Arabidopsis thaliana: one gene and its partner. The protein of the gene in region 1 interacts with the protein of each later gene in a pairwise test. Each region holds a gene or a part of one and is shown on either strand. Other genes may lie near its edges.

Region 1 (16,716 bases):
TGGCCCTGATCACTTTGGCAGTACTGATTTTATTAAAAATCTATGAATTTTGAACTGAACAAAAATATTAAAATTTGTTGAAACTGTCACTACTTTAATTAATACTCGTGTAACTATTGAAATATTTGTGTGAGTCATCTCATTTAATACCAAAAATAAATTAAAACCTATGATCGTAAGAAATGACTCATTTTGAATTTTTGATCCGTTGAATGAAAAATATCTTCGTTTCATTAAAATGAGTAATTTTGAGTTGGTTAATTATTATTTTTATTTCTGTGACGCATAAAACAATACATCTTTTTTCCTACCAAAAAAAACAATATTTTTTAAAAAAGTAACATTTGTTTAGTATTGGGATATTGTGACGGCAATGAGGGGGCAGGTGCCACTGAGTACTCCTCGGAGTCACAATAATTTCAGTCCACATTGTACATCCACTCGCAAATAAATAAAAAAAATCCATAAGAGTCAAATCCATTTGTTTGCTTATTAATTCTCTAGAAATTACAGATTATATTACGCTTACTTTTTCAACTATAAACAAAAACAAAACGGCTTTACTAGTTTTAATTTATCATACAACTTAACGAAACAGATTATACCAACAATAATAATGAACGGTGAGTAGTATAATGGTAGAACGATGAAATATTTATGAAATATAATTTGTGTACGAACTAATTAACGATATTTTTGTTGTTGTAGTAGTTGACTTCGATCGTAAAAAGATGAATGTGTTATTTCTCGGTTTGAACCAATAAATATGTCCAAACAGCTTTGTTTTACTTCTTCGTTTACTCATCCAAATTCGGCATTTATCTATAAATCCCAACTGATTAATCATTTAGAGATTGTCAAAATATGGACACTAGTTATATTCAAATGTTAAATTATTGCTTTCTTTCGGAGATGATGAGAGAAAGGTCAACGATGATTGGGGAACTGCTATTGACAAATGACAAATGGTTATTAGAATAATAACAATGTTTATTATAAATACATCATTTTGTGCTTAATCTAATCTTAAGCTTAGTTGTCTTAAAAAATAATTAACCAAGAGGCCTCGATTAACGGATTGCTACTTATCGCTAAGACTACTCTGGATCATTATCTGTCACGAAATTTAAAATTTGGTTTAATTTTTTATATGCAAAACATATAGTTCTTAAATGTGTAAGTTGAATCTTATTTCGTGCTATACCCAATCAGAGAATTCTTTGTCTCAAGTATAATTATTTCATCAATTCGCAAGAGACAGTCCTTGCTACGTACGAATCTAATTTCATATTATTTTTTTAAAATACAGAAAAAGTTGAACACCAATAAAAGTACGTTGAAAACGTCAATAATTCAACTAGATCCAACTCATAGTTATATAAATTATAATTATGGTCATTATTACTTTATTTTATTTCTTAATTAGTCCCCACTAATTTTACGGCAGCCTCTACTTTTTTTAATCTTTAATGTATTTAGAACTAAATCCCATTTAGCGATCACTACTCAGATCTCAAACTATCAAGTTTTAATTTGTACTAAACCGTTTTTTTTGTAACCTAGTGATTTGTTTTATTTCTAGGTGTCATTTGATTTCAACTAGGAACACTTTTCTGTTTTGGCTAGTTGATCGGTTCTATTATTGTTTGAGTTCTGTGAGTACTAATCTGAACCCACTCTTTGTCTTATAAAGTTATAAATATATAAATATCTATATATATATATATATATATATACATATATAAAGTTGTTTATGATCAACTATTGATTGTGTCTACATATGTAGCCAAAAGGTCGTTCAATGTAAGAAGGGACTCTAAAATTAAAAGACATGACTCCTAAAACATATACAAAAGCCGGTGCTCGTTTATGGATATTCTGGTCGTGCCAGTTATAAGAAACTTAAAATTTATTACCTATATTGTCTATAGATTTGTTATATTTAAGTCAACCTGACTGATAAAAAAATCGTAATATTTGAGATTCAATTAAAGTGGTGATACAGTTACCAAGTGTCAAGTATTATCACAAATGGTTTTGATACACTTCACCAATCTTTAAATTTAATTTAGAAATATATAATTATGTACGCAATACGTTGTAAACGGCATGTACCACATATATCACGTTTCCAAAATCTTTTTTTGTCCTCTTTAGTTATTAAGTTTAGCTCGAAATAAATTTACATTTGTAAACGGCAAATTTTATACAAATAATTGTAGTTTATTATATAAAAATATTGTTTTATTTAATATTTATAAAAGGTAAATAATACTTCTTTTGTTTCTTAATAATTGATTTTTTTTTAAACACATATATTTTAAAAAACATATTAAAAACTAATATTTAATTATTTATCTTGAAGTTTGATATTCATCAATTATAACCAATTAATATTGCATAGAAAATCTAAAAAATTAATATTTTAGAAATAATTTTTTCTATAAAATAAAATAATAATAAAACAGAGGAAATACAATATTTTATTATATTATTTAGTTGTCACAAATGATTTAAAGATGCTACCATTATATGCTACCATTATATATATATATATATATATATATATATATTTAAGATTATAAAACTAATATTTGTAAGTTTTTGTTCAAATTACTTCATACATCTACGAAAAGTGGTGGATCCACGTGAGTTTACAATATAATACATGGTTGAAAAATCTTTAAACATATGAAAAGACAAACAAATTAGCATAACATTAACTTAGAAAAAAATGTTATATGACATAGACAAAATATGCACACAGCGAACCAAAATTTAGAAGAAGAATTATCGTATTTCTATTGATGTTATAAGGAGTCGCCTTCTGCATCTTCTTTTCCTAACATGATACTCTCGTTCCTCGTCTTCTTCACATGTTTATTATCCTATCACTACTTAATACAAACTAATAATTCTTTTTGTATGGCTAATGTAAATGACTAACTAGATTAAATTACCAAATATGTTAAAAAGAAATTACAATATTTCAAAAATTGGGATTAAAAACAAACGTAGTCTTCACGAGATATATTTGGACTACATCCTGAATTTGGAATCTTATTTATGGAGTATCCGTAGAAGCATGGTTAACTATAGCAGAACTATGGGTTCTCTATCTTGGTGTGGCGATGTGGTTGATGGCATCATAATGTGGAAGAGCACACCAAAGTCACTGCTCGTTTTCTTCTGCATCTTGGTTTTCATTTTGCTGCTAGAGATGATGAGTTCGTTCATTCCTGTTATCATCTTCCTCATGGGTGTCATCTCCTACTTCTAGAGTTCAGAATTACCGCCCCGACATGGCTATCTCTCAGACGACTTCTACAACAGATTTCGACCTTAACGAAGAGACCGGCACAATCTAGTCTGGTTCCACACCATGAGAAAGGATTGGCGTGGAAGTGAAGCATGGTCTTAAGCTCCTCTCGAGATTCTCGGAATGTTTGAGCGTACTTGTCTTCTTCATGTATGATTTGTTCAAGTTTGAATCATTCTTGTTAGACACGAGCCGTAGGTACCTTTATCAAGAACAAAAATTATCTTCAATGAAGACTCCGTCAGATCTCCAACAACCTTCCGCTCCATAGTAATAATCTCTTTCTTTAGGTTTTCGTTTCTATTGGTTAGCAAATTTACTTATTATAAATAGGGTAAATGTTGCCTCCCGGGAGAATATGTTAACAAATCTACGTATGAACATTTAGTTATTAAGTAAAAGTAAAATCAAAATTTTAGCTACAAATTGAGAGATTTTGTTTTCCCATTCTCTAACATTTACCGGAAAAATAAAAACAGTTACTAATATTTGAGCTAAACGACCGCCACAAAGGGTGATTCCAACTTATATAAAGAAGGTCTTGTTGATAAACGACTAAGATGTAAACTGATTCGCGTAAGATTAATATCAACGGTCAAAATTTAAAATCTAGTGTTAGAGGTCAACCAACTTTGACTGTGTTAGACAATCCAGCTGGCATTTACTATTAACACTGATAAATAATCTCACACGTGTCAAATTTCCATTCGTTGATTAAACAGAAGACATCTAATCATAAATAGGAGAAAATAAATTGAGGATGAAGCAAACCAATCAATGATTATTAAAACTTGATTGTCCTTGTTGCTAACTGCTGAATAATGATTCTTGGGTTCTACATCAAGAAAATGAAAATTTGTTGGAATTTTACCTTGTTGATTATAAAATTGGATTTTTACGTTTCGAATAAACATCATACTTTACCTAGCAAACACACCCTTATTTCACGAATCCTCAAAACTTAAGATTAAATGCCTCCAATTCCAAAGCATTAAATCGTTGGAAGTTAAGAGACTTAAACACAATATTTTTCGTACATTTAATTTTTTGTTAATGATATAGCTCGTTAAACACCTTGCCTGAATTCCATGATTTATATTATCATTAGTAAATATACAAAAAAAAAAAAAAAGATTCTAAGAAGAACCATTATTCGTTAACTAGATTAATGTCAACATTCCAACACAGCCATCGATGATGATGATGATTCATCAAGAAGAAGAAGAGATGCCCTCAAAACATTCAATCGTCATTAGAAGATCCAAATAAATAAATCAAGACAACTTGCTTGAATTCCATTATTCATATTATCATTAGTACATATGCAAACATGCATGATTTAATTTATGATAACTTATTATCAGTATGCATTATTCATTATTCATAACAATATCAAATTAAGAATTCACAACCACATACAGATGATAAATCATGAAGGAACATAACCAAGTATCTCAAATTCCATGAGAGTAAGTGACAATTGAAGAAATCCGGTTTCCTCAGGACCAGAGAGGTTAACTTCACGGTAAAAATCAACCCCTTTAACCGTTGGCAACAATGTGACTCTTCTCCCAACGAAATAGGTACCAGTTGAATTCGTTTTGAAAACATCTACATATAAAGATTCTACGGGAAAATTCTGATCTTGAAAAAGTTGTAATTCTTCATCAAACTCAGGATCTCCTTCGGTTGCTACAACCTTTGTTTCATGTTTCTCGTTTTCATTTGTCCAAGCTTCAACCTTGTATTGATATGGGCGACCATTGGTGACTCCGATTGTACCAAAGATATTCACAAGTAGCTTCACATCTTCACCTGTGATTATTATCTTTTTCCCTCGCATTTTTCTTCTTTTCAAATAATAAATCTGAGTAGAATAATATGTGTGATTGATATGTCAACTTAACTACACCTCAACAATTGTTTTTGTGGTTTTTTCTCTCACTAATTCACGAAATTCGACATTTTCTAAATATATTTATGTTAAAATGCACGTGTTTCATGTTGTAATTCTTTGTTTATAAACAAGAAAAAATAGATGCTAAACAATGAGAAATAAATGTTGTTTGAATAATAAAAAAAATTGAATGTTTCTTAATACCATTTCAAATACTAAAAACAATGAAATATCATATTTAGAGATTTATTTCTATATAATATCTATTTTGGTCATATTCTTAGTTATGATATTTGACTACTATTCAAAAACCTAACCCCAATATAGTCAAAACTATATAAAAATGCAGTAAGATATTAAATGCTGTTGAACAAAATTCAATATCTTATGGCTTGAAAGTAAACTAGTAAGATAGCTACAAAATGCATGGTAAGAAGTTAGGATAATCATATTTTAAGAAACGAAAATAAAATACCTAATATAAGCTTCGACACATACAGCTCTTTCTTACTGGAAATCTTGCATATTCCGAACATACATTTTTATTTTAGGACGGATATACCTATAGATTCATTTGCAAGATTGATTTCCTATTGAAAAAAAACATGTTGTGGATTCAAATATTTGTCGCTTTTTGTTCATTCTCTTTTGTAATTTCCTAAACGAGAGGTCACTAATCCAAAAATCGTTAGCAATTAACTAGAACATCTTCCATGGTTAACACCACCTATCAATTATTTATTTTCTTCAATGAAACTTTATGAAACTCTTTCCATTTTATTAATTTATATATTAAAGTTTTTGTTCACACTAAATTTATTGACTCAATATATATCTACTTTATAACTAAATACTAATTATTTCATTTACTTTTTATTTTATTAATAATCTACATATATATATATATTGTTTGTCTTGTTTATTGTTTTTGCGGTTTGTATATTTATATCTCATATTCATACAATTTTTTAGTATATATGCTTAATTAATTAAGATCGAATTGTGGCTTGTTTATTATTTTTGCGGTTTATTTATATGCATCTCATATTATTACTTTTTTAAATTAATCGATTAAAATTTATTAACTTACGTAACATATTTGATATTGCATAAATTAAAAATCATATGTATATAATTCTCTTTAGTTTAAATTTTAAAATGAATAAAGAAAAAAACAATAAAATTTGAAAACTGAAAACCTTTTAAAACGAAAAAGAATGGCTAAGATGATGAATCGGTCTCGTACGGGAAACACCTACGTTTTGGTTTAGTCCGGTTTGGTTGAATTCCCAGAGACTTTGCTTGAATTGGGTCCCCAATGCTACGGTTTTACCACTGGAGATTTCCGCCGTCCCTCGCCGTCGTTAGAATGCTCTCATCACCACCCCCTCCTCACTCACACTCTCCATTCTCCGGCGGCGGCGTGAATTCGAACTCAGTCGGTGGAAACTCCAAACCCGAGTTACAATTCCCTCAATCCCAACCCCATAAACTCTCTTCCTCTCCTTCCTCTTCTCTGAAATCCACGGTGGCTTGTTCAAACGCCGGAGCTATACGGAGAAGCATGGCTACTGTTTCTCAGGCATTCTCAGAGAGAACAGAGTCTATTGATTCGGATTTAGGCTCGCTCGTTGTAGTTTCATTCTACAAATTCGCTGATTTTCCTGAGCATGCTGATTTCAGGAAGCCTCTCAAGGATCTCTGCGAAAAATTGGTATGGCGTTTCTTCTATCTCATTCAAAAGTGTAGATTTTTAGTGTCTGTCTACGAAAGGTTAAGTCTTTACTTACGAGTGTTTGTATTGATCATGAAAATTTGGTTTAGATTTTGAGGCACTAATCACTAATGTAGATTGGATTGTCTTGTTTCACCAGCGTGTTTCAGGTGGAATCATTCTTGCACCAGAAGGGATAAATGGAAGTATCTGTGGGATTCGTGAATCAGTGGAGGAAGTGTTGGCATTTATACAGAGAGATGTCCGGTTAAATGGTTTGAGGCAAGTGGAGACACCTGTGAGTCCTGAGCAAGAAGCAATTCACCATGGACATAGTAGTAGCTCTCCTCTTGCAGCTGGTGAAGATGCTCCATTTAGATGGGATCATGTTAGGGTCAAACTTAAGAAAGAGGTACACTTTTTAGTCTTTGAAGTTGAGACTGGAGGAGTTTTGTGGATTGTCAAGAGTTGTTTTCTTTTGCAATGTCTGTGCAGATTGTTACGCTTGGAATTCCTAGTGTCTCGCCAATTGAAAGAGTTGGAACATATGTGAGTCCCGAAGAATGGAACGAACTGATCAGTGATCCAGAAACTGTGAGTCCTCTTTTTACCATCTTGTAGCAAGTTTAGTCAAGAACTCAGTGAAATTTGAATAAAGACTTGATAACTGTTTATACACTTAGGACTCATTTTCTCTGCTCTCTCTTGATTAAATGTTCTGGTAGATAGATCGATGATATCAGATCTTTAAGTACTATTGTGTTTCAGGTAGTGATTGATGTGCGTAATACCTATGAGACTAGAATTGGGAAGTTTAAAGGAGCTGTGGATCCATGTACCACAGCTTTCAGAAATTTCCCATCTTGGGTGGAGAATCAATTTGCATTGAAGCAAGAAGGCAATGAAACGCAAGCAAAGGTGGAGAAAGAGGATTTTTCTGAAATCACCCATAAAGAAGACAAAGCTGAAAAACCGAAGACGCTGCCACGAATTGCTATGTATTGCACTGGAGGAATCAGGTGTGAGAAAGCTTCAAGCCTCCTTCTTAGCCAAGGTTTCGAAGAGGTAACCTAACACAACATCTAACCATTGTTCTGTTGGTTTCAAAGGTACTTAAAAGATCAAAGCATTTTTGTTATCAGGTATATCATCTGAAAGGTGGGATATTAAAGTACCTTGAAGAAGTCCCTAAAACCGAGAGCTTATGGGAAGGGGAATGCTTTGTGTTCGACAAACGTGTATCTGTGGAACATGGTCTAGCTCAAGGAACACATAAACTCTGCTATGGATGCAAGCAACCTATAAGTGATGAAGACATGGAAGCTCCAGAGTACGAGTATGGAGTTTCTTGCCCTTACTGTTACTCCAAGAAATCAGAAGAGGAGAAAGAAAGGGCAAGAGCAAGGCAGACACAGTTTGAGGAATGGGGTGTAATTGGTGGTCCGGACAAAGGTCGTCGACCCGCCACTAAACCTGATAGTCCAAGGAAGAAGATCAATGCAAAGCTTGGTTCTTCAATATAGAATGATGTTGTTTTGTTCTTCTTCTTGAAATCATTTGCATTGTTACATACTTACATTAAAGAGTTTAAACGCTAATCAATGAGGCAATGATCTTGAATTTTTTTAAGCATATCGGAAACAACGACTAGAAACAACGACTAGAAACGGCGCGTTGTTCAAGTGTTAATAAGTAGAACGGCAGGAAGTGTAAAATTGACGTTTGACTAGGTCAAGAAGCTCTTTTAATGTCAAAAATTCCGCAGAATTGATTATCGTCATTTCGTTAAGGATCTCTGTGGGGTTTGATCGAATTTCATAGCGAAGGAGAGAGTGAGAGAGAGATTGAAGCAGTAATGGCAGGAACATCTGGATTGCTCAACGCAGTGAAGCCAAAGATCCAAACGATTGATATTCAGGCCGCCGCTGGATGGGGAATCGCCGCCGCAGCCGGTGCCATCTGGGTCGTCCAAGTAAGCTATCTCGATCTCTTGTTTTCCGGCCATAGATTGGTTTTCACGGATTATGGTCCTGATCTGGGATCTCTATCTCTAGCTAATGTTATGTTTCTGGTGAAATTGTTGGCTTTATCTGGTTGAAAGATGAAAATTTCATAATTGATCACCATTTATCAAATTTACTTGCTTTGATCTCATTAGATTATCTATAAAGGTGGTTACTTTTATGAGCATCGTTGCATATAATTACGTTTCATGAAAGGCTTGATTCGTTTTGGTGCTAGTCTATTCTTGAATTGGTGATCAAATCTTCTTCATTTCGTTTTCCTTGTACTATTGGTTTCACTTACATTCTGATTTAGTCTTCTACAGAAAATGCCTAGCTTCTATTGATCCTTGCTTCACGCCATTAACATCTTAAGGAGGATAGAGTTGCACTTATTTCAGACTGATACATGAGCTTGTTTCTTCATGAATTAGTTTCATCACTTACAGACACAATTTGCTCTTGGTTTGGTGTTATGAAGAGATTAGGCGCCTTAAGCTGCTAGTGACCCTATTTTACTAAGCTTCTTTTCAAACTCATAATGTATTGTATCTGACACATTCTTTATCATCACAGCCATTTGGTTGGATAAAGAAGACATTCATTGACCCACCCCCAACTGAAGAGAAGTGAGATATCACCAAGATTCAAGACTAAGTGAAGAGTTTTCCAGTTTCTAAGTTTGTTACCGCCTCTTTGGCGTGGAGCTGAATAAATTTTGGTTCTTTTCTGGGGCTTTCTGGTTTCATTTCTTCAATGTAGTTGACTGATTTGTCTTCTCAAATGTTATAACAAACAAGAAAAGCACTTACTCCAAGTTACTTGAAAAGAGAACCCATTTTGCATTTATCATGAGTTATTATTTCCATGTCAAAGTATAGAAGACCTAACGCAGTAATGTCTGTTGCAATACAATGAATAAATAAAAGAGCTTATCCTTTGCCTAACCTACATAATGAACGTGGACGACACAAAAGAGAAAGTATTATTTCGAGCAGCTTCTCTCTTCACCATCTTATGTGCATACAACAAGACGCTCCAACAAACATTTGGCTGGAACCAATCTCTCTGCAACCTTTTCCATAGTCATGATGCGTTTGTAGTTGATGAGGATGCATTACTTTCCTTCATTCTCCTCTCGGCTGCTAATGCTGCAGCGACTGAGGGTGGTAGATCTCTCAGATTCTCCTGTCTCTCTCCTGGGTTTTGTTCCATCTCTGCTGTTTCTGCTGTTGGTGAAGCAAATAGAGATTCAAGATCTTTTAGTGTCAAGAACTGTTGATCTTGATTCTTTGTATTCCTGCTGCTAAATGAACTTAAGTTTGTATTCTTATTCCTGTTCAGTTTGTAGATGCTCTCTTCCACTGTGCCCGATACCTGGTTCCCCAAAAAAGAGAGGTCAAGATCAAAGTGAATCACATAAGGCAGGATCTTGAAGCTGTACAAGACCAAGGTGGCAAACAAAGCAGATACACTAACCAGAAACCGATGAACTAGAGTAGGCTTCTCTTGTCCAATTCGGTGAACACGCCCAACAGCTTGCGCTTCCGCAGCTGGATTTAGAAGTGGCTCCACCAGAATAACATGCTGTGCTTCTAGAAGATTAAGACCGTTGGCACCATGCTGCACCAAAAGCAATAACACTTGAATCGATTTTTCCTCTTTTTGATGGGAGTTTGTCTTTTGGGTTTCTTTCTCAGATCCCTTGAATTTGCTAATGGCTGTCTGTGATTTCCTACATTTCCATAAAATAAAAGTTACATGCATCCCTTAGGCTACCTATGTGCCACTTTTAACAGACTCCCCATTAAAATTCTCACTACATTACCTGCCCCCTTTCATCCGGATGCAGGTGATGCTATTTGCAGCGAAGGCATGTTCCAACACATCAAGAACATCGTTCCAGCTGGAGAAAACAAGAACCTTCGTTTGTGGGTCACTTGACTTGATCCATAAGATTCTTCTAGTAACAGCTTCAATCTACCCCCAAAACAATAGATGAGAAAAAGAAGTACTTCTTGTGCACTGATCTTAGAAGCAAGGAGACTAACCTTTGTTCCATATGAACCTTGAACCACCAATGATGCTTCACTGTCTTTGTGATCTTGATCTGACGAAGAACTGTTTCTTCTATCATCAGCATATGCAATATTTCTAACATCTGTATGCTGCCTGCATATTGGACACATCACCCACTTTTGCAGCGTTTCTTGAACTGATTTGCGCTCAGTCATAGCAAAAAAGCCTGTGTGAACAAACACAAAGAAGCAGATATGGGTAACATTCTTTAGGTTCACGAAGAATATAGTAGATTAATGGAACACAAAGAAAATGCTTAAAACTCGAAGCTGAAAAACAAACAATCGAAAGGTCAAAGTAATTACAGTTACAGCAAGTGGAATGCCCGCACTGGAAAACCATCTTCTGATTCCTTAGAATTTCATGACAAATCGGGCATGCTTCATCTCTCTTAAGCAGGTTTTCGCTTTCCTGTTCAGCAGGATCCGAAGCATCGACTGTTTCATGTATTGGTGAGGAAAGATCTGGACTCTCGGATTCTTGTTTCTGTTTGGATTTCATCAAACCCTGCAACGGAAAAAAGATTTGTTCAATATTGGATACAAAATCAAAGAAAGAGAGGGAAAGCAAGCAGATATTTTCCAGCGATCCAAAGTCTCACAAAAAGGAACTTAGCCACAAAGACATAACTATAGCTTCTCGTGACTAAAAAATTGAAATGGGTAGAGCTCTGGAGCTGGAATTGCAAAACAAATGTGATCAAGTGTAACTATCCACGTAAACTTCTTAATAGTAACACAGATATAAATGACTTATAGGCATGATAAAAATAGGAGGTCAGGCTAATAACACACTAAGGTTACAGATTTACCTTCAAATAACGAAGTTTCCCTTTTATACTAAGCAACGAGGATTGAGCCATAAATTTGTCATTTGTGTTCAGCACACTAGCAACATCTAACTCGTCCCGGCCCAAAGCATAGATCGATGTGTCATCTTCCGATTCTCTAAGCTGTAGTCTCATTGTTGACATGTTAATCTCATCATAGGCACGTAGGAGTTGAGCTTGATCCCTAGCTAAGACCCTTGCATGTACATATTCCTTTCGCATCACCTTAATTAGATAAGCAAAATTGGAAATGTCAGATCTTGTTACAAAAATGAAGGAATAGTTTTCCCTTTCTCAATGTAAGCAAAGAAGGGATCTCTCAGGCAATACCTCAAGGGTATGCAAATGTTTTGTAGCTGCCAATTTGCTTTCCCTATCTAAATGAGTTTTGCAATGGTTTCTTATCACTCCAAGAACTATTTCCGTCTCAGATGGAGATTTTGAAAGCTATGATAAGAACATAAAAGAAATATTTATCAGACTGCGACGATCATTACAAAATCATATTATTTGACATTTCAAAAGATTTTAAACAAAAGAGGAAATAGAGAACGCCGTATCAATAAAGTTAATAAACAGAGATGTGGTTAGGATTTATTCTCAGTAATGAATTCAAAGACTTCTTGAAGTAATACCAAATCCAAACTAGATCAAGTAACTTACAACCACAATGTCACCAGCATTTCTTTTGGTTGGCTCCTCGTCATCACCACGTGATGCATTTAGATCCTTGCTTCTTGATGATAAACCAAATAAAAAAAGATTACGAGCATCTCTCTTCTTCTGCAAATGTACCGTCTCTTCAGCAGCCGCAATTTCCATTACTCCCCTGCGAGATTTGTTAAGACGGAAAAGCCTAGCCTCATATTCCTGGAATGATTTTTTGATACATGATGATGTGACAGCTAATATTAATATCGATTTAAGTTCATATAAGTGCAGAAGCAAAAAAGAGCAAACCTGGAATAGTTCATCTAGCTCGCAATGAATACACGGGGGGCCATCACTATTCTTATTGCAATACTTGCAGTTGCTAATACGCTCAATATCCTCCAACTTTGGTTTCTCCATAGTCTGATCAATTTCTAGAATCCTATCTATCACTTTCTTTCTAGATCTCTCCAGCATATCCATACACGTCTGCAGATGAAGTTTCATGCCATGTATAGTTCTAAATCTGGAATAAGGAATTTGCAAGTTAGTTCATAACGTACTCAAGTTATGTGCTCCTAGAATACTGTCTGCTTACAAATCAGGAAACATCTGAGATTAGATTGAATATAATGATCTATTGCTAAGACTTTCACTACATATGATACTGAAATTATAGGGTAATCAATCTAGTCTTTTAATGAAGCTAACCAGTCTCTTAGGTCACTTCTTCTAATAACTTTGCGGACACATGTAGAAAATATGCCCCATATCACAGACAAATTTGTGACTAAAAGCTGAGAAAGTACTCTGGCAAAAACAAAGCTCACAAAACTGCAAATTTTTAAGCACTAACCGAGAACTCTCTCTGGAGGAGCTTGAATTGTTTAAGTTTCCATGGAGGGCCTCTTCAATCTTCCTTGTCAACTCGCTAGAGAAGTCTTTATTCTGTTCAGTAAGTTGCAGGGCATCCAACCACCAAACTGAACGTTGTTTCCCCATATTGCTCAACGACTCAGAAACCTTGAAAGTTTTTCAACCATTTAGCATTGTGTCACAGAGAGCGAGCTCCAGGAAAATAAGTGATGCTCAATATTTAACATGCCTGATCTTGAAACTTAATTTAAACGGATTATATTTACACTTAGGCTAAGGGTACAAGTAGCTTTTTGAGATTAAAGAAAAAAAGATATAAATATTTTTGTGGAAAATACCTGATTGTATGATTTTTTGAATTCGTGCTGTGCTGCAGAAAGCTTTGAGTTGAATGCGGATAAATACTTAACCTTCAGTGTGTCACAAACTATATCCAGAGTTTTGCATTCTTCATGACACTCTCCATCCTTCTTTAAACCATTGTCTGGAGCAATAGCTTCCCGCTGATGTACAGTTTCTGAAGAATCATGAGTTAAACTCTCGAGCTCATTGATCCTTTGCCTCTTCGATGCACGATGATGATCATCATCTTTTACATCTATTTTTGTTTCAGGCCTTCCTGATGCAGAAAGTTTTCCACCGTAGCTTTTGGCCATTGGTAGTATCTCAGCTAAATTGTGAAGAATGTGAATATTTAACAATGGATCAAGACGAAAATCCTCGGCGTGTTCTTCAGTTATACTTAATGCTTCCTTGTATAAGGACACAGCTTCAGAAAATTCTTGCTTAAGCATGGCAATAGCAGCAATCCCATTTAATGCAACAATTAACACTCTAAGAGCTTCTTCTCCCTCGCTCTGGGTCTTTTTCACAAGGACCTAAGAAAAACTTCAATTAGCACAAATAAGTAACGAAGATTAAAACGCTAAATCTTGCAAAATCACCATTAAAATTTCTTCCATGGTCATTGGACTTTGTTGCAAAGAGCGTAAACCTGAACTTCCTACTTGAGGGTGGCAGCAAGCTTGGCGCAATTTCAAGAGCGAGTTCAACAGTTTTGCAGCTTCAGCATGAGTGACTAAAGGATTATCAGAAGAAGTATGACCTGTAGATTATCACAAGTTGGATAGAAACTTAAGCAGCCAGTACAGAAGGAAGTGTCAAACTTCTGAGAGTGAACTTTTGGAGGCAATAAAAGACAAAAGTGGAAAGTGCTGAAGACACTATGTGCACCCCATGGTACCTCTTTTGAGAATATCACGTTTCAAAGTTTCTATAACTTCACGAGCATAACTCACACAAGTGTCATGCTGTCTACTGTAAAAGTGTTCTTCAATTGCGGAAAATTTAAGCCACGAGACGCATTCCTCTTGAGGTGGAAGTTGCAACTCATCAGCCACATGGACTTTTGAAGAACGCCACATAACTTGTTTGAAAAACTTATGCGTAAATTCCATGGCCTTTGTGTCTCGCCTCTGAACAAATCAAGAAGGTTGTTAGACAAGAAAACTATAAAAGGTAAGAAATGTTTTTTTTTTTCCTGCTCGACCTCATATGGGTCTCTTATAACTTCAATCCACCATCTTGAAACATCGAAAGGATTTGCTTTAAGAAACTTCAATAGTCCAAATAAGTCATCAAGTTTGCGTTGTATAGGAGTTCCGGTGATACACCAACGGTGTTTGGTGTATAATCTCAACGCCATCTCTGTTGCAGCAGCTGCATTGCTCTCCACCATCTGGGCCTCATCCAAACAAATCCTCCACCAAAATATTCTGGTGAGTGGAGTCGGAATAACAGGGTACCTATCACAATATGAAATCTTTACTCAATCTCTCCGAAAAGCTATTCAATTGCAGGAAACCAGGAGATAAAAAAAAATCCTGTCAGATTAAATTTGCTGTTGTTCAATATGGCTCGTCTGAGTACATGAGTATGGAACTAATCTATATTGGCAAATTCTTAGAAATATTTTAATAATTCATCTTCTTCAATATATCAGGTATGACAAAAGTTCATCATGTAATGAAAAATGCGAGGTATAAGAATCCTAAATATAATTAATCACACCTTTTCTGGAATCTAAGACAGTGCCGGTCACCATCATGCCTGTCGAAGTCATGTGTCAAGTCCTCTTTAAGGACATCATACGTAGTTAAAACAATGTCCGCATTGAGAAGTTCAGTAATGTCAATCATAGGTTCTTCAGAAAGTGAGGCGTTCCTCACACCTTCATAGATACATGTTATGAGAGATCCCAAGCGTGTATGGCTACAACATGACAGATGAAAGAAGGAAAGAGGACTCACATTACATGATGTGGAGATACACAAAAAATTACGTCTAGTGAAAGCCATCTTGTTAAGTGTTCCTCTAGTCAAAACATAACAGAAGGGAGAGAAGAATCTCATACCGTGTAATCTCGGAATGCCATTGCGGTAATATAGGAGCTGGACAGACAATAAGAGTGGCACCCGTAGAGATGGGAGAGGCAGTGACTTGTAGAAGTTCAGAGCACATTTGGCAAATATATTCACCTTCTCTGACAATAATTTCCGTTGCATCCTTTTTGCTCTTCTTTTGAGATGCTTTTTCATCAATATGTTGACTATCCTTCTTACCTTTCCCTTTAGGTGAATAACCTACACAGTCGGCATGCTGCCAAGCATCACAAAGGTCACACTGTACCCAAACTCCTTTGTATTTGTGACTTTCACTGACAGCTCCACATATGCACTCAACACGTTCTCTTTTCAATCTTCTCAAGCCAGCGTTCAAAACATCAGTAACTGATGAACCATTAGACACAGAAATTTCATCCTCCGCTGGTTTTCGATGAGAAAAGATACAAGCAAGTAGTTCCACCGTTTTTCCCAATCCCATTTCATCTGCAGCATTCGTACTTTACCACATTAAGAACGAAACGCATGAGAAATATTAGAGGTAGACAAAGCCATATACACCATCTAGCATTTAAGACGACTTAAAACATATATTTCTGAAAATATTCTTTGTGAAAGCAAGTCAAAACAAAATTATCCTTGTAAATAATTTTCTGATTATATAGTACATGGAGGCAAAATGAAGCCGCAAATTGTTCATACCAGCAAGGATACCGCCCTGAATTCGAGGTGAAAAATACTCTGGTGTCAATGAGATATTCCCACTAAAAACAACCAAAACATGACAAATTGACCAGAACAAATTAGTTCTTCTGTAAATGGCGGAACTTCACTGAGCAGAACATACACTATTTGTTGACGATGAGAGGAGCTTATAGTTCAAAATAAAATTAAAAAGGACTACTTAGATTCTTTTCTACTAACCTGAATGGGTTCAAGAACATTT
Region 2 (17,236 bases), on another chromosome or scaffold:
TAACTACTTGCTACCCTCTAGTCTTTAGTGTGTGTGTGTACAAATGGAATAAACAAACAAATAAATAACTAAAGTAATTATCCTTGAAGTCATTAATTTCTCTCAAATTTATCTACTCTTTCGAGAGAATAATTAACTTTTGAAAAATTAAGCCGGATTAGTGATTTTCTTTTTATTAGTCAGAATGATCATGTATTTATAAATATCCAAGAGAGAAATTTCAAAGTTTGATTTTATTTGGAGAAAATTCAGTTTTGACAACAAAAACAAGAATGAATAGTTGATGAATTATGAATTGTCGAATTTTAATTGGAACATGAGATACAAGCGGTACATTAGCGCGTGGTGCCTTGGATTTGAAATTTAGACAGCGAAGCACTTCTGACATATCACATTTTATGAGCAGTGGATGTAAGAAAATTGTAGTATTATTTTACTGTTACTTAATTGTCTTTTGTCTACATCCTTTTGTGTAATTATATTTGCTTTTAATTTATTTTCTAGACTATATAGTTTTAGGCCCAAGTTTAATTCTCTTCTCAGTTTCTAGTTTGTATTTTACTCTAATGAAGTGTCAATAACATATAATATTGACATAACTTATAATAAGTGTCCAAACAAAGGAACATTTCCTAAAGCTTCTACCCAATTTCATGAATCTTCTCTTTTGTTATTAAGTGGGAGTTCTCTTTTAAGATTGATGTGAATTTCTTTCTGAAACAAAAAAGTTTCTAATTGGATCATAACTATACCAAAATTATCACACGTGATTTTTTTTGTTCTGCATGAGTATAATAAATATAAGGATTCAACTTAGTAATGCGATCAATGCGATTAAACTTAACGTTATAGTTTTATGTTTATATGTTAACTTCATTTCGAAAATTTCGGTAGCATATATATCAAGATTATTTCTTTTTGTTTTGTTTTGTATTTTATTTTTTCGATTTCACTCAAGTTTCTTTCGAAAAGACATATATTAAAACAAGTTATCAAAAAAGAAAAAGATAAACAGTGAGGTCAATCTTGGTCCAGCCCAGTTTATTATTTTTATTATTAAATATAATATCTCTAAATAATAGTACTACCAAGTACCAAGTATCAAAGTTATGTATATTTATTAGTATTTGATAACAATAATAACTATATATATTTGCTCATTAACATGTTTGCGTACGATCGTACGTACGTGTTGTATGATTCTTCGATCACCGGACTCGATTTTTCTGAATGTACGTACTAGTGCATATCAAGGTATGTAGAATACATTAACAATATTTTGAATGAAAACGATCGATACGTGAATTAACGTAACTATCTCAAGTCTCAACGGAACCGTCGTAAGTACGCGCAATAAATAGGTAGATGTATCAGTTATAAAATATGATTATCGATTTGTAACTGAATGATGTATACACATGGAGACAGTGAGACTGAGACACATATATGTCCAAATAAAAAGCACATAGCATTGCTGACAAGTGCATGTCAAGGAAAAATCAATGGGTTCAATTTTAGTAAACCAAACAAAACTCTAAATGCAATATAATTAAGCTAGTATCAGGTTAGAAAACGATGTTTTGAACTGTTAATACTATTAGATTCGGATGTTTTGGCGGGGAAGAATCAGTGATTCACTGCTTCATTCTGTTCTCTCCACTACAATATTATTGACTTACTGTACATGACATCACCCACATTTCTCAACACTTCAATCATCATCAGTTCATTCATTTTCAAATAATAGAGGTGTATGTAACTAGATTCGATGCCTAAAATCGATAAATATTTTGAAACAAAAGATAATAGATTTTTGAGGTAATCTTAAAAACCAATATAATGTGGAAACCTACTTAGTTATTACATTCTTATAGATATTACCATAAGGTGGTAGCTTGCGTAATTTGAATTGACTTATTATGTTTCCAATGTGTACAAATATTTGAACATCGTATAACAACAAAAACTAGTTTTTTTTTTTTTTTTGGGGACAAATAACAAAAACTAGTCATTCTCACAAATTACTAAATAAACAAAGGTGTGTGTATATATGTTATGGAGCAAAAGGGTCGGTGGTATGAGAAGGCCCACAAGCAGACACCGATAGAGTTACAAGAAACCAAAAAAGGACTAAAGTCTATGATAAATAATGGAACCCTAGGTAAAAGCCTTCCTTTTTTCTTTTTTTTTGTTCAACAAAAGCCTTCCTTTTAGTTCACATTTTACACTACTACTACAAACTCATTCACTTTTTAATTTTCTTTTAAAATTAATCCAACGAAGTCTTAGGTCTTTATAATATTCGATGCCTTTTAAATTTTCTTTTACTACTTTATCTTCTTCTTCTTCTTCTTCTTCTTTTAATCCTTTTTAAATGGATACATGAACGTGTAATTGGATGTTGATTTTGCTGTTAAATGATTAACTGAATATCAATCATTTAATTGAATGGAAACGTTTTCCCCCTTTTAACTTTTCTATTGGGAAAACAATCATTTTAAGAAAGTCGAGATGAGCAGATCGTCGTATAAGTCGAGATTAGCAAATCATGTCTTAAGTAATTTGAGATAATACTCATGTAAATATTATGTATACATTAAATATCTGTTAAGGTTTGGTTTTCGTAAATATGTTCAAGATAGTTTTTTAAAAGGGGAGAAAGAAAAGTATTCCCTCCACCACATGGGTCGTTCTCGACTCTTTATGCCATTTTGTGTGGCTTTTTTTGGATCTACTGTGATTGAGAGTGAACATACATCTTCCATCACATCTACAATCCCATTGGATCAATACCTAATGCTTTTGAAGCACCTGTTATCTCCACTAGCTCTCGGATTGTATAAATTTGCATAAATACTCTATACACAATATTGATTTCCATATTATGTTGAGTTTATATCGACGTCAATTTAGGAGAAATAAGACTGAAAATATATTTTATTGACAAAAAAAAAAAAGACTGAAAACATATTAATGAAATATGCAAAGGGTCCAAATAGAAAGAGTGATTGAAAATATTCTATTTTTTCCAAGGCTATGGCCAACCCTATGTGGACTTTGCAGCAAATATTTTTGACCAAGTCCGTGACAATATTGTCATATTATTCGTCATAAACACAGTAAATTTAATTTAATTTAATTAACTAATACATATGCATAATATGGCATATATTTTTTCTTACTTTGTGTTCTAAAGAGATTAAACCTTATCCTCATCATGAAAGCAACACTACAATGTATGGTCTACTTAGCATGCATCTAAAGAAAAAGAATTGAGCAGTGGTGAATCCTCTTTTTATTTTTCCAACAGTGAATCCTCATTGTTTTATGGACTTCTACTTAACTAAAATTAATCATCGGAATGAAATACTTAAAACTACATATATATTATGTTTTGATAATCTATTACTACAAAAGTTTCCGTTAGTTTTAATGATAAGTGGGATAGTATGCGAACTTGTGAAGATCCACAATAAAAGTGGTGACTCAAATATTTTGACAAACTTTGCACACAAAAAAAAATATCTTGACAAACATAATCAAAAGATTAATACATTGATAATCATAATTAATATATAAACAAAATAACTCAGCAAAAAGTATGTGTCGATGGTGTTAGTTGTTGGAGGGAATGGCCCAAGTTCCCAGAGAGATTGATTATAGTTTTAATGAGATGAAAACGTTCGTGGGGCTCTTTTTCTGATCACATCATGCCCAAGTAGGAGCGGTCTCCAAATCATACCACTCACCTCCACGTGTCTTTCTTCTCTCTCCCTACGTCGCTGCCCACTACGTCTACATGTTAAACCAAAACAAAAATTAGCGACTTCGAAGAAAACTGAGATTTTCTGAAAAGAAAAGAGTAAGTGATTTTCTATGTTATTGAAATACAATTAAACAAAAAAGAGAGAGAGTTATATCTACGTAGATCGGATACTACGTGATTATTCGATTCCGTTTAACGATTCTTCAGAACAATTGTATTGGTATTAATTATTATTATATACACACGTTACTATAGATCGTACGTAGTACGGTAGTAGTAGTTACGTACGTATGGTTATGCGTTAATGTTATATCTTCCTGTTTCTTTAGTCTAATGGTCATGTACCATTTCATCTCTACTTATATAGGAATTCGAACTCACTCAATGCATGATAACTTTAGAGGATTAAACCATTTTAAGTCAATTAATTTTGTCACGTAGAAAACATATATACTTAAAATTTCTAGACTTTTACTTAAAATAACAGTAGAAAAGATACTTAAAATTTCTAAGACTCTTACTTAAAATTATAGTAGAGAACAAAATTTAGATCATATTTTATAATGCAATGTATATCTTTTGACCATCATCCTATTCTAACAAAAAAAAAATATTTTATATAGATATGTACACTTTTATATACTATAGTACAATTAGGCCGTGCCCGTGGATTTCGGTTTCATGCGGCTCTCGTATCATCACTAAGTTGCCTTTTATCTTTTATTCGCCACATCGTATAGTATGGACTCATTTTATATAACAAAAGTCGATTCATTTGGTTTAAGGGCTCAGCTCCCATACCTCTTGGGTTCTAGACTTCTTCTAGTCAAGGCAGAGGAGGAGAGGGGAAGACGATAAATATGATATTTTCCAAAATGAAGGCTCCATAATATCTGAATTTTAACGAACATTTTATATCTTAAATACAGTATATTGACAGTTCCGAAACATATAGAGTAATATAGACAACAACAAAAAGGTTAGTTTTTAGAAAAAAAATTGGATCAAAATATACACACACCTCAAATTAATCCAGAAAACACGCACTACTATTTTTTATTTTTTCCGGCATTTAAAATATAAACGTTTAGTAGAGGTTAACTTGCTTGGGATTCCTACAATCGCATGGGGCCTCACTCATATTGGAGCCAGCTTTACTTCTTCTTTTAAAATACTTCCTCCTATACCTACAAGGCTACAACGAAAAGCTCTTATATAGTCTCAGGAATCCGATGTCCATTTTAATTTTAGTTAGTCCTCCGTTATCATTCGATTAAGGTGCCCTTGATCATCAGATTTTCCTTGTATATATTATATACACTAACCTTTCTATTTTTAGTTTGGCTTTATACTAAGGTTTCTTATCTTTTAGATATGATCACTCTAATTTCTTTTCATTGCTTTATATATATACTGTTTTGTTAAAGTTAGCATATATATGGATTATCCTTCTGAAATTATTCAAAATGATCTACCAGCAGAATTTTTCAGTTTATCTGTTATATGAGGAAACAATGGGAGGGTGTAAGAAAGACATTCTTGCACAATTTAAGGATGCGTGTTAGCCTGACATTTGACAAAACTTCTACTATGCGCCGCCCTTTTTCTATTTATTTTAAAATTAAAAAGACTGACCAAATTCAGAATTAACCACTTTCCTTTTTGAGATAAAGTTAATAGTATATTATAAGGTTTTTGCTTTATATATAGATTCTAAGTTATCCGAAGAATTCAGCTGATATTGGATATTGATCCCATATTGTATTTTGGATTTCTCGTGAATACGCCATTTTAGAGGTATGTATGTGTACGTATTCAATACGCGTACTTGTTTACCATGTAGACATGAACTTTTACAGATGCGCACAGCGCACGGACATGTAAGTGCACATATGTGCCAATCAGCCCATTCTGCCCATGCATGTGAAACAATGTGACATAAAGCTTGGGAACAAAGAGAGAAATATGAATTCTGCAAAATGTTCCTTTTTAATTGAAAGTTGCTGGTGGATAGTGAGCCATCTATCTTTACGGTGTATATTTATGCTTTATATGCAACTTCTATGAACTCACATTGCGAAACCAACTTCTAACACTATATTTTGGAGATAATGTATTCATATTTCGGATGTTTCTCTAAAAATAGTGCATCATTGGAGTGGAGATATAAAAACTATGGGTGTTATTGGTTATATTTGTTAGAGTAAAATAAAATATTACTCTAGATTCGCCTATGATTCACAGAAAAAGGAAAAAAAAAGGTTTGAGCTGAAAGTGTCGAAAACTTTATAATTTTTTCCGCTACAAAACAATTAGAGAAAATGGACAGAAATAATTACGCCAAAATCTATTTTTATTTTACTCCCACATCTTTTTGCTTTCACCATATCACACCCTATATGTGATTAGAAAACGTATAGGATAAACAATGAAAGAAGACAACGGGGTATGATAAACAAAGAATAAAAACAAGAATAATATGGTCAAAATTGGGAAATGGGGAAGACTACATAAGATTTGATGAGAATGTGTCAGAGGCAGAAGCTTTAATAAGACTCCCTATACATACTCATCAACCTTCTCTTACGAAATTCTCTACTAATATTTTTTTAACAAATTTTAGTGGAATCCAATGGAGATTATTAGATTAATATGGTCAAATTTAACAGATAGGACCATATGTAGTTCTTATTAATTAGTCTTTGAACTACTAGAATTAAAGTACTAACAAAGGAAGCTATTGAATATGTAATCCCATTTCTTGTATTTGAATCCGTTATCCCATAAAAAACGTAATCATATTTTCATATGCGAGTATAGAAATTAATGTGGGCACATTATTCAAATTATACATTTTCGTTTGCCCATTTGTATAAACTTGATAGTTTTTACTTTTTAGAGATTAATTTGCTTATGATGAATCTTGGTTATTAGAAAAGTAGAAATAAATAAACGTGTATATAAATTAAAGATAATTGACGCTATTTTGAACTTGAATAATTAATAAATAACTTTGGGCTGTTTTTTTTTTAATCCAAACTTTGGGCTGTTAATCCTCTATATTCTTAAAATGCAGCCATATGAATAAAAAAGAAGAAGATAGTATTAATATCCATGCCATTTCTCTAATCTAAAAGAGGACTACCTGCCGTTTCAACATTAACCAAACATCACGCCGTTTCTTATTGTAGAGCTAAAATCGCGCGCCGTTTAGATACGATCGTCTTAACAATACAGAGATGAAGAAATCAATAACAAATGAAAGAACATGGAAAGGATTCGATTTGTACTGAAGAAATCACAACAAGAAGAATCAATTTTGCCCAGAAATGAGAAATAATCAAAAGCCTTTAGCACCAGATTCTTTCAAAACAGCAGGTTGATCAGCCATAGATAAACAGTACTTAGCAATCTCTCTGAACTTAGGGACACTTCTCAAATCCACTTTAGTTCCATCTTTCAAAGTAATGATGATATCTCCCCATTCTCCGATGAACCTCGGCACAACTTGAACGTCTTTTATCACTTTGTACGAGAAATCGCTCCGATCATCTCCGGTGAGTCCCGAAATAACCGTCACGCGGAGGTTAGTGAACCTGTAACGAAGGTTAAAAGCTCGAGACACTGCAGCTAAGGTTAGTGGGAGCCAAAGGATGGTTAGACCTAGAATGAGATTGGCTAATAGATCTCCGTAATGAGCTCCGCCGTCGAAGTAGACTGTTTCTTTCTTCGCCGGTTTGGAATCGGAAGGAACGGTGGATGCGGATGCGGAGGAGGAAGCTAGGAGCAATCTTTGAATGTGTCTTTGTGGTAGTTTCGTGGAGGGAGACAATGAAGAAGCGGGGAAGGAGAAGGTGGTTGAGAGGAGGAGAGATTTGCGAACGACGGAGGTTACGGCGGTTGACGGCGGAATTGAGGAAGAAGCTGCCATGAGAGAATGATTTGAGTGACTGGAAGATTTGGAGTGAAAAGATGATGACTTCTCTGTTTTTTGGATTTGATTTTTTGGCGCAAATTGTGCCACGTGGCCTAAGCTCTATGGATACAACATCTATCCAAATATTGAATCAATATCAACCATAGAATGATATAAATCAGAAATTATATAAGAAAAAAGATTATGCTACTAATGAAGAGTTAAGATGTAGGTAATGTAACCAAACTCTATATCAGCATCATCATGTGAGAGTATACTTTGATAGATTTCTATATGGTATTCGTTTTGATAAAATTTGGTCTTATCACACTTCATGAGCCAGTTATTCATGATCAGCTTTGCATCATATATATTCACAGACGAATACGGTTCTGAATCGGGCCATTGGTCTATTCACTGCCTTGAGCCGCGGGTACCGAGATCAGATGCGGCTTTAGCAGCTCTCTCTAATGCACCAGACAGCCAAAGAGCTCCGCTGGAGAAGTAACTGCTATTGACAACACTAGTTGCAGCTGCTGCCGCGGTTCTTCCTGTGGCAAAGACAGCTGATTTAGCTGTATCTGAAACATGATACCTTTGGTCAGTCATTCTAACAGCTTCAAGTCCGGTAAAGATTTTGTCAGTAAGACCAATCCTCTGTTCTAGTTGAGATACTCTAGCCACCGCTGCAGCTGATACGCCGTGGGATTCATCAAAGGCTTTAGCTTTGCTTAAAGCGTCTTTGCCTAGCACGAATCCTGTGGCAAGCATTATTTTCACCACTTCTTGAGCTTTTGTCACTGCTTCTCCAGCGTTGAACTCGCTTCGTTGAGCATAATGCTACATGATTGAAGAACGAATAAGCTTTAGAATTGAGACCAAGCATCAAACTTCAACATAAAGACTACTGAACCAGTGACCGTTAGATTTAACTATTTTAACAAAAAAAGAAGACAGAAAGATCAAAGTTGAGAGAAGTGTCAAAAGCGATACATACTTGTGAGTCCGATTCATCTTCAAAACCTCGCGAAGTCGCATTCCAGAAATCGAACTCTTCGTGATGTTGTCCCCAACGAGTTATACAAACACGCTGATCCAATATCGTTGCGCCCTGAAGATATCAAAGAAGTGAGTGATTTCTCAAGAGACATCCAAAAAAGATAGAAAGAGTGAATCAAATCCAAACTAACACTTACAGTGAGTAAAACAGCAGTTTCTTGAGAATAAGAATCCTTAAACATCACATAAGCAGTACAAGCTTGCTCACCCGACCTAGTCTCATTAACAACATTACAAAGTGTACTCTTTTGAATCCAGAATAAGCAAACAAACAACAAACTTGCTAAAAAGTAAAAAGACTCACCTGACAATATCAATATCTTGGATAGTACCAGAGAAAGAGAAGAAATCGATAAGATCATTATGAGTAACAGATGGAGATAACCCAGTAACTTCAACACCATATCCAAATTGATGATCCATCTCTGCTCAATAAGCTAAAAACAAAACAAAAAACCTAAAAATTTCAACATATCCTAAGTCAATAAATTAAATTACTTCCAGTTCGTGATTCAACTTTGGGAACTACATAGAACTTTCCGATTTAGCTTTACATGATTTGGGATTGAAATTTTCAAGCGAAATTTGAGCAAGGACAGATTGCCAAATATGTTCAGACCTAAATCGTTGATTCACTAAGCTCTAGAGAAGAAATTTAAGGAATCGAAGAATAGAAGTTACCTGTTGTAGTTGTTGTTGACCAACGGAGATCACACACAGAGAAGCTTGAAAGAGAGACAAAGGTGATGAATTGATGAAGTTGATGATGTGAGTGGGAAAGAGAAGGACTACCTTTTCAGTGAACGAAAAAGACGCAATTTTAAAAAGCTAAAAACTGCGCCGTTTAGTAACTCAATGTTGGGCCTTTAATGTCTTGAGTTAGCCCATATCGTTAACGGTTCTAAATGTAATAAAAAATTCTACATGAAAGGCCCAATGTTGTTTGATTATTTTCCAGTCTCAAACAACCCATAATCACAAATATTTTTTGAAACATAAATTTTCATCTTATGCTATTTTTTATTTTAAAAATCAGTCTTTACATATTAAAATTAAATCATTAATCATTACTAAGTGTTTGTACAAGAAGCAAAAATTAACAATCTATAGACGATTTTGTTTTTTTTCAGCAACGATTTTAACATTCTAGAACCTTTTTTATACCTTAGTATTGCATGTATATATAAAAATTGGAGTAATTTTAGATATTATCTGTCTAACCGTCCAAAGTCCAAACAGGTAAAAGTTCTCTAAGTGATAACTTTTTAAAATCTCTAAAGAGACAAATTTGACAAGTGTATGTGATATAAATACTTATGTTACTGTTAATACATGAGAGAAATTCAACGGAAAAGAAAGTTAGACCATTTTCATTGGGGGTTTTTTATAAGAGTTTCTCACAATTAAAAAATAAAAATAATAAAAATGAAGGAGAGAGAGTAGAAAGTTTCTTACTTGAGAAACTCTGAGATATTCTCTACAATCCATCATGATAATTCCCTTTTAATTATTGATTCAACTTTTTAATAAAAATATTTTTTTAATCAAAAAATCAAATTATAATATAATATTAATTTTTTTTTGTTTGAGAAACTTTGTGGGTTTTTCATGGATGGAGATGCCCTTAACTAAAAAGGAGAAAAAGAAAAGACGTGTGCCTAACAAATGTTTGATGTAATTGGTAAAAAAACGCAAAGAACATTATTATTATTAATATTCTTTGCATATGAGCCGTTGGCCAAATCAATACTTACGTCTCTCTTTCTCCATCTCTCATTGTCTCTTTCTACTTCTTTCCACGGCCACGTCCGTCTGTCAAAATTTACTAGTTTTTAATTCAGATTGATCTAGTCAGAATCTACTTTTTTTTTATGTGTGTGGTTCATGTTTCTATATTCTGACCCCTGCTGCAGTGAATTGCTATTTATGTATTTTTCATGCAAAACCAAAATTCACTGCTGGAAATGTATATTTTTCATATATGTAAACACCAGATAGTTTAATTTTGTTTTTTCACTTGTCTACCAAAATTAGAACTTTTATTAAACAACAACAATAAGGTGCTTGCGACTATAGCTTTAGAAGTTCAAGTATATGGATTATGGAACTTCTAAAAATTGCGACTATATATAAGCAAAAAACATATATTTAAGAAAAAAATAAATGTTCTAAATTACAGGAAATAGTTGAATATTGGTCCTCCAAATACAATTATCTTCACCATATATGATTATAACAATAAAATATAAAAGGTTGACCATTGACTAATGTATATATTCTATAGCTAGGTTAGACGTTTTGATTCGGATTTTGAATTTCATAGTGAAAGATTTTGATATTGAGTTGACGTCAATTCGGAGATCTACAACAAGACTACAACGTGTTTTATCAAACTCACCTGTTTTTCTTAAATCATAATTTTCTTTGTCTTTAATTGACTCGATTAGTCGATTCAAATATCACATTCCAAGTTGATATCTCCCAATTTTCCTCTATTGTTAATAGAGTTTGTTTATTGTTATTATATTATTTGTATCTAGTAAGCTTTTTTCATATGTGATTCTTAATAAGTGTCTTCTAAGATTAGTCGATGATAATCTTTGTCATTGTTCCACAAATCATAAATTATAAGCGTCAAACCTGAAACAATTTCTTTTGTGTGGTAGAATTCTGGAGTTCTGAACCTTTTTGTTCTACACATTTTTCCATATCCACCGAAAACTAAAACGGCCGAAACCAGAACAAACAATTCTTAGATGTTAATCATGTATTGTTTACTCTTCGTATTTGCCTGATGGTCAGCATTAACCAATACTTCAACTTGCAATTATGACCAAAAGAAACACAAAATGTTTTCATACGATCCCATTAAAGTGAATGTATTTAAGATATTTATCATAATGTGTTGTTTATATACCATATATTATGTTATATTATCCATAGACAGCAAAATTTAGAAGACTAGATATAAGATGTGATAAGTTAGTTACATTCAAATCTATGTAATCTTGAGTTTACGAAGAGCACGTGTTGAAATTCGACGTTGACTTGAATGACAAGGCATTGCCAAAAGAGAAGAAAAGAAGAAGTAAAGGTATTAGGAGCCACCACGTTATCTCCTTACGACGGATAATTCAAAACAATTAGCTGGTATAACAGCTATTCAAATACACACACAAAAAATCTTTTTCGATATTTTTTGTAATGAGAAGAAAATATTGTAATGTGCTGCAACTTGCAACTTGTAATGATCAATTTTCAACCTAATACTTTTGTTGGCAATTTTGTCTTTTTCCTCAGTTGTGAATACAGATGTAGCCTGGGCTTTCACGCGTCGGATAATGGCTCGTAAAGTAATGTAACTCACATGAGAAGGTATATCAACTACTCGAAAATAAATACAAACAAAATTTTGGGGATTCTCTTTAGCAATCTTATACCCATTCTTATGTAACACAATACTCAGATTCTTAATAACACTTTCACATATATAAATTAGGAATGTAGTCATCAATTAAGACACTTAATATAAGAGAGATTAATGTGGAAAGAAAAGGAATGTGAACACACAATACAAACAGATCACGTGGACAGCTCTTAGGACTTCACTTTCAGACACAAGTCACTAATAAGATACGCCAAAAAAAAACAGTCACCTATTCGATAATTTTAGAAGAAAATTCGAAAGCAAAAATAAATAAATTTATATTTAACCTTTCTCCAACCAATATTCATTTTGTTTTTGTGGTCAAAAGTCAAAACCAATATTCATTGAAAACGAAAAGATAATGAAACTTTACCATATGAAAATACAAACAGCTCTGTAGAATATATATATATTTTTATTAATTAAGGGTAACTGCATTTCTGCTGAGATAGTATTAGATAAATATCGTTGAAAGGTAACGGAATTTTAAATTCATAGTTATTGACCTTTGACTCCAAAAATCTTATCAAACTTGGAAACTTTGATAGAACAATACGTCACAAACATTATCGAAATTCAGTAAATACAAAATGGTTATTATTAACACCACAATGTCTCAAAGATTAAATTTGTAATTTATTTATAAAGTAGTACATAAAATATGGATCTTAGACCTCTTCTATACGATGTCAACTTCAACGATTTTTTTTTTTTTTTCATTTTCATTGCACCTTGAATTACTTATGAAAAGGTTTCACGAGCTTGGATAATAGTCAAAATACCGTGTTAACTGTTAACGATACCATACATCTCGCCTTAAGAAGATAAAGCAAAAACTAAATAAAAAGATAGATATAACAAAATAAGAGAAAAAACACAGTTTAGAAAGATAGATATGCAAATGATTTGATTAGATTACTCACAAATTCTAACGACTGATAAAGCTCTTTTCTACCGTCCAAATAATGTTTAAAGATGGCCTTCACACGTGGCAATTAATGAGTGGATTACAGCTGCCAAGATGCAACTCGCAATATAATAATCCTTTAGTTGCACGCTAAAATCTTTCGGCGCGACTTAAGCTTCGATGATTTATCAAAATTCTAATCAATGCGTGAAATATGTAAAGATAACATATGGTACGATCAAGACCTTTATCCATAATAATAATAAGTGTCTTACTAATCTTTTAGTATTTGTTACATTTAGATTTATCTCATGCTTTGAAAAAGGCCATCAGCTAAACGATAAAACACTTGTAGATGAATAAAAATTATGATAAACCAACACGTCCAAGAGAACGGACGAATAATATTTTTTCCGATGAGATAAAAGAGCCCACCCACCATATCAGTTCTGGTCAACGGACAACAAATAAGTAATGCATTAATCTCGGTAATAAACTACTAGTAATAACAATGGTATTAATACACTAATTTCATGATTTAATGTGCAAAGATATACTCCCACGTGCGTCAACACGTGCTCCGTGAACCTCTAGATCACTTTGTCGACAGCTTTCTCGTTTTCCTAATTTATCTGTTCAGCTTATTCAGATAAACATACATCCTCTTCTTTCCAGTACAGTTTTTAACTGAAATGTTATGTTCGAAGAACAGAAAAAGTATAATTATATTCCAATGAAAAAGTACTACTATATATTCCTAAATAATATTTCGTGGAAATGCGTCTAGGTCGTCCTTTATTTGTCCCACTAATTATATTCCATCGATACAATTTCAAACCAAAATTCATATATCTCGTCTAAGATAATTATTGTAGTGTTCAAGTTTTACTAGTCAAAAAAGAAAAAAAAAAGTTTTAGTAGTCTAGTTAAAATCGTTTATATGTTCTTTTTTTTCGTATTAGCAAACAACTAAAATAATTCAATAGAGATAATATTAATATTTTTCTTTGTGGAATATAGGATTTTATAACGTGTAATTGGTCAGATAAATTGTATATTAATCAAAAAAAATATTGAACACGGAAATTAGCCTGTGCTTCACAAAAATCAACTTTACCTTCAAAAATTGTCAATAGTTACATACAGAAATCTATCTTTTAAAACGTAAAGTTGTTTTTTTTTGGTGACGTACATTTGTAGAAAAACAAAGAAATAAAAACTATGACGTACATAGAGTTTTACTACAAAGCAATTTAACATCCTTTGACCAGAGGAAAAAAATAAACAAGTAAAGTACTGAAACTTTAGAACATTTAATTAACTTCAAAACACTAGAAAACAAAACAAAACTAGAAACAGTTTTGAATTTCTTGATTTTTTAATCTAAAATATTTCCTTTTATGAAAATCTTATCTGAATAATTTGGACTACGGACGTCATGTAGAAAGAGAAACCATTATTACTAAATTAATTAAGTTTCCAAAAGCTTTAACCCAAGTAAAAAAAAGAAGAAGAATAAAACAGAGGAAAGAGAGAGAGAGAAGTTGAATTCGACATCCAAAGAGTTTAACTTTCAGACCTGAGGAAACTCATTACGCTTCACTTCCGATTCGCAGAGAGTTTCCAACAGACCACAATTGAATAAATATTCTTAATCTTCTTTTTTTTTGTTCTTTCTCTTTCGTTAATCCAAATCCGTAAGTACTTTCTTCTTCTTATTATTATTATTATTATTATTATATAATCTCTTCCTTGTTAAAGATTCTCCATTGTTCTCTCCTTCTTCTTCTCCGCTAAAGGAATCATATTCAGATCAGTGATTCGTTTTTCTGGGTTTTCTTTTTTTGTTTTCCGAGTCAAATTTGGAATCTAAAGATCTGACTTTTGAAGCTACCAAATTTGTTTTGGCGATTGATGTTTCAATAAAGAGACAAATTTTTGTTTTTCCTTCTGAATCCATTTTTATCAATCGAGATTTGGATCATCTAATCGTCTTTTGATTTCTCAGAATCTCTCTCTCTCTTTTAGCCATTTTGCATTTCGTGTTTGGTCTCGTCTCGATCTGATTTCTCTAACATCGGAATCTGTACGGAGAAGATGGTGGAAGATCGGACATATTTGATGTCAAGGATTTTCTCAAGTTCTCGTCTTTCAGAATCAAAGTGGCCATACATGTATCCACAACCAGAAGATTCCTCTGAATCTAATCTCATCAATGGCAAAAGAGCATTGGAGAATGATGTTGATGAGCTCAGACAGAGCAAGTCTCCCAGATTGATGGGATTTTCAATTCATGGGAATGAAGCCATTGAAGAAGATGAACAAGAACAAGACCAATCTGATTCTAACAACAATGGTAATAGCGATGGCGATTCACTTATCAATGATATTGGCAGAGACAATTCTATAAGCTGTTTGATTCGTTGCTCGAGGTCTGGTTACGGTTCGATTGCTTCTTTAAACCGGAGTTTTCGGTCTTTGGTGAAGACCGGAGAGATTTATAGACTCAGGAGGCAAAACCAGATTGTTGAACATTGGGTTTACTTCTCTTGTCAGCTTTTGGAATGGGTTGCTTTCAATCCTTTTGAAAGAAGATGGATGAATTTGCCTACAATGCCTTCAGGTGTTACATTCATGTGTGCCGATAAAGAATCTTTAGCTGTTGGTACGGATTTGCTTGTGTTAGGCAAAGATGATTACTCTTCTCATGTTATATATAGATATAGTCTTTTGACTAACTCTTGGTCTTCCGGTATGAGGATGAATTCTCCGAGGTGTTTGTTTGGCTCAGCGAGTCTAGGAGAGATTGCGATCTTTGCTGGTGGTTTTGATTCTTTTGGCAAAATCAGTGATTCCGCTGAGATGTATAACTCCGAGCTTCAGACTTGGACTACACTTCCGAAGATGAATAAACCAAGGAAGATGTGTTCAGGTGTTTTCATGGATGGGAAGTTCTATGTGATTGGAGGAATTGGTGGAAATGATTCGAAAGTGCTTACTTGTGGTGAGGAGTTTGATTTAGAGACGAAGAAATGGACTGAGATACCGGAAATGTCGCCTCCAAGGAGCCGGGAAATGCCGGCAGCAGCAGAGGCGCCGCCTCTTGTTGCGGTTGTGAATAACGAATTGTATGCTGCTGATCATGCTGATATGGAAGTGAGGAAGTATGATAAGGAGAGTAAGAAATGGTTTACTTTAGGGAGATTGCCCGAAAGAGCTGACTCGGTTAACGGTTGGGGATTAGCGTTTAGAGCTTGCGGTGAGAGGTTGATTGTGATTGGTGGTCCTAGGAGTTCAGGTGGAGGGTACATTGAACTGAATTCATGGATACCATCTAGTGATCGAAGTCCGCCTCTATGGACATTGCTCGGTAGGAAACATTCATCGAATTTTGTTTACAATTGCGCGGTGATGGGTTGCTGATAAAAGGGTTTCAACAATAACTTTCAGATGATTTTTATGATTCTCCTGCCGTTGGAGATGTCGAAAGTTGCAGTCTTTTTTTTCTTATTAATTTTGGTTATAAAAGAAATTTATTTGAATTCAATTGGATACAATCATCTTGGTGGTATTGTTAGTTTCTTGGAAAGAACAGAAACAGGTCTTGTAATAAGTTTGGTGGAGAAAGTTCAGAATCTAGAGTTTTTCAGTTCTGCTATACTATTTGTTAAAATTTTTGTTTATATTCGTTTCATTCATTTTTTCGCAAAGAGACTATATTATGTGTTTTGTGTGTTCTTCTTTCAATTCTCTGATAAGAGAAGAAAAAGAGCTTTTAATCTTATAGTTGTTGTTTGCAAGATAACTTGATCTTTTGCTTGCAAGTAATACCATAAACTTTTCAATTTTTCTCCTTTCTCTTGGTTCTCTGTTTTGGGATTTTTGCTTCCTTCTTCAGAAATTATGGCAATTAATTCTTTGAAAAGTAAAAAAAACAAAGATAGACTTAATCAGGAAAATGGCAGTTTGCATCTGATTTTGACGTGTAGGTAGGTCTCTGTCATTTTCTCTTTGAACTCTCAGCCTTGCATGACAATACCTAAGATGGGCTTGCTATGCTAATTTCAAATCTTTTATGCATACTAAATGATCCAACAAGGCAATCACCCATCTCTATCTAAAACTTCAACGATTTTCAAGCAAATCTTCAATTAAAATATT

The links.
Region 2: the proteins of AT2G40765 (region 1) and AT1G14340 interact in a two-hybrid assay, tested with the Arabidopsis thaliana proteins (one large-scale study listed by BioGRID).

The regions. Positions count from the first base shown.
Region 1 is NC_003071.7:17,003,516-17,020,231, forward strand, and holds AT2G40765 (uncharacterized protein), read left to right. Parts: upstream 1-8,660; 5' UTR 8,661-8,785; coding exon 8,786-8,902; exon of another isoform or gene 8,903-9,509; coding exon 9,510-9,566; 3' UTR 9,567-9,810; downstream 9,811-16,716. Other genes in the region: AT2G40745 (uncharacterized protein), read right to left, coding at 4,749-5,162; AT2G40760 (Rhodanese/Cell cycle control phosphatase superfamily protein), read left to right, coding at 6,535-6,930, 7,091-7,342, 7,426-7,524, 7,699-7,995, 8,073-8,453; AT2G40770 (RING-finger, DEAD-like helicase, PHD and SNF2 domain-containing protein), read right to left, coding at 10,020-10,310, 10,413-10,668, 10,762-10,913, 10,985-11,178, 11,318-11,519, 11,824-12,066, 12,172-12,288, 12,505-12,711 and 10 more. UniProt on the Arabidopsis thaliana protein: Component of the ubiquinol-cytochrome c oxidoreductase, a multisubunit transmembrane complex that is part of the mitochondrial electron transport chain which drives oxidative phosphorylation.
Region 2 is NC_003070.9:4,889,637-4,906,872, reverse strand, and holds AT1G14340 (RNA-binding (RRM/RBD/RNP motifs) family protein), read right to left. Parts: upstream 9,528-17,236; 5' UTR 9,423-9,527; intron 9,179-9,422; 5' UTR 9,165-9,178; coding exon 9,046-9,164; intron 8,955-9,045; coding exon 8,879-8,954; intron 8,794-8,878; coding exon 8,680-8,793; intron 8,523-8,679; coding exon 8,097-8,522; 3' UTR 7,838-8,096; downstream 1-7,837. Other genes in the region: AT1G14345 (NAD(P)-linked oxidoreductase superfamily protein), read right to left, coding at 7,107-7,697; AT1G14330 (Galactose oxidase/kelch repeat superfamily protein), read left to right, coding at 15,173-16,498.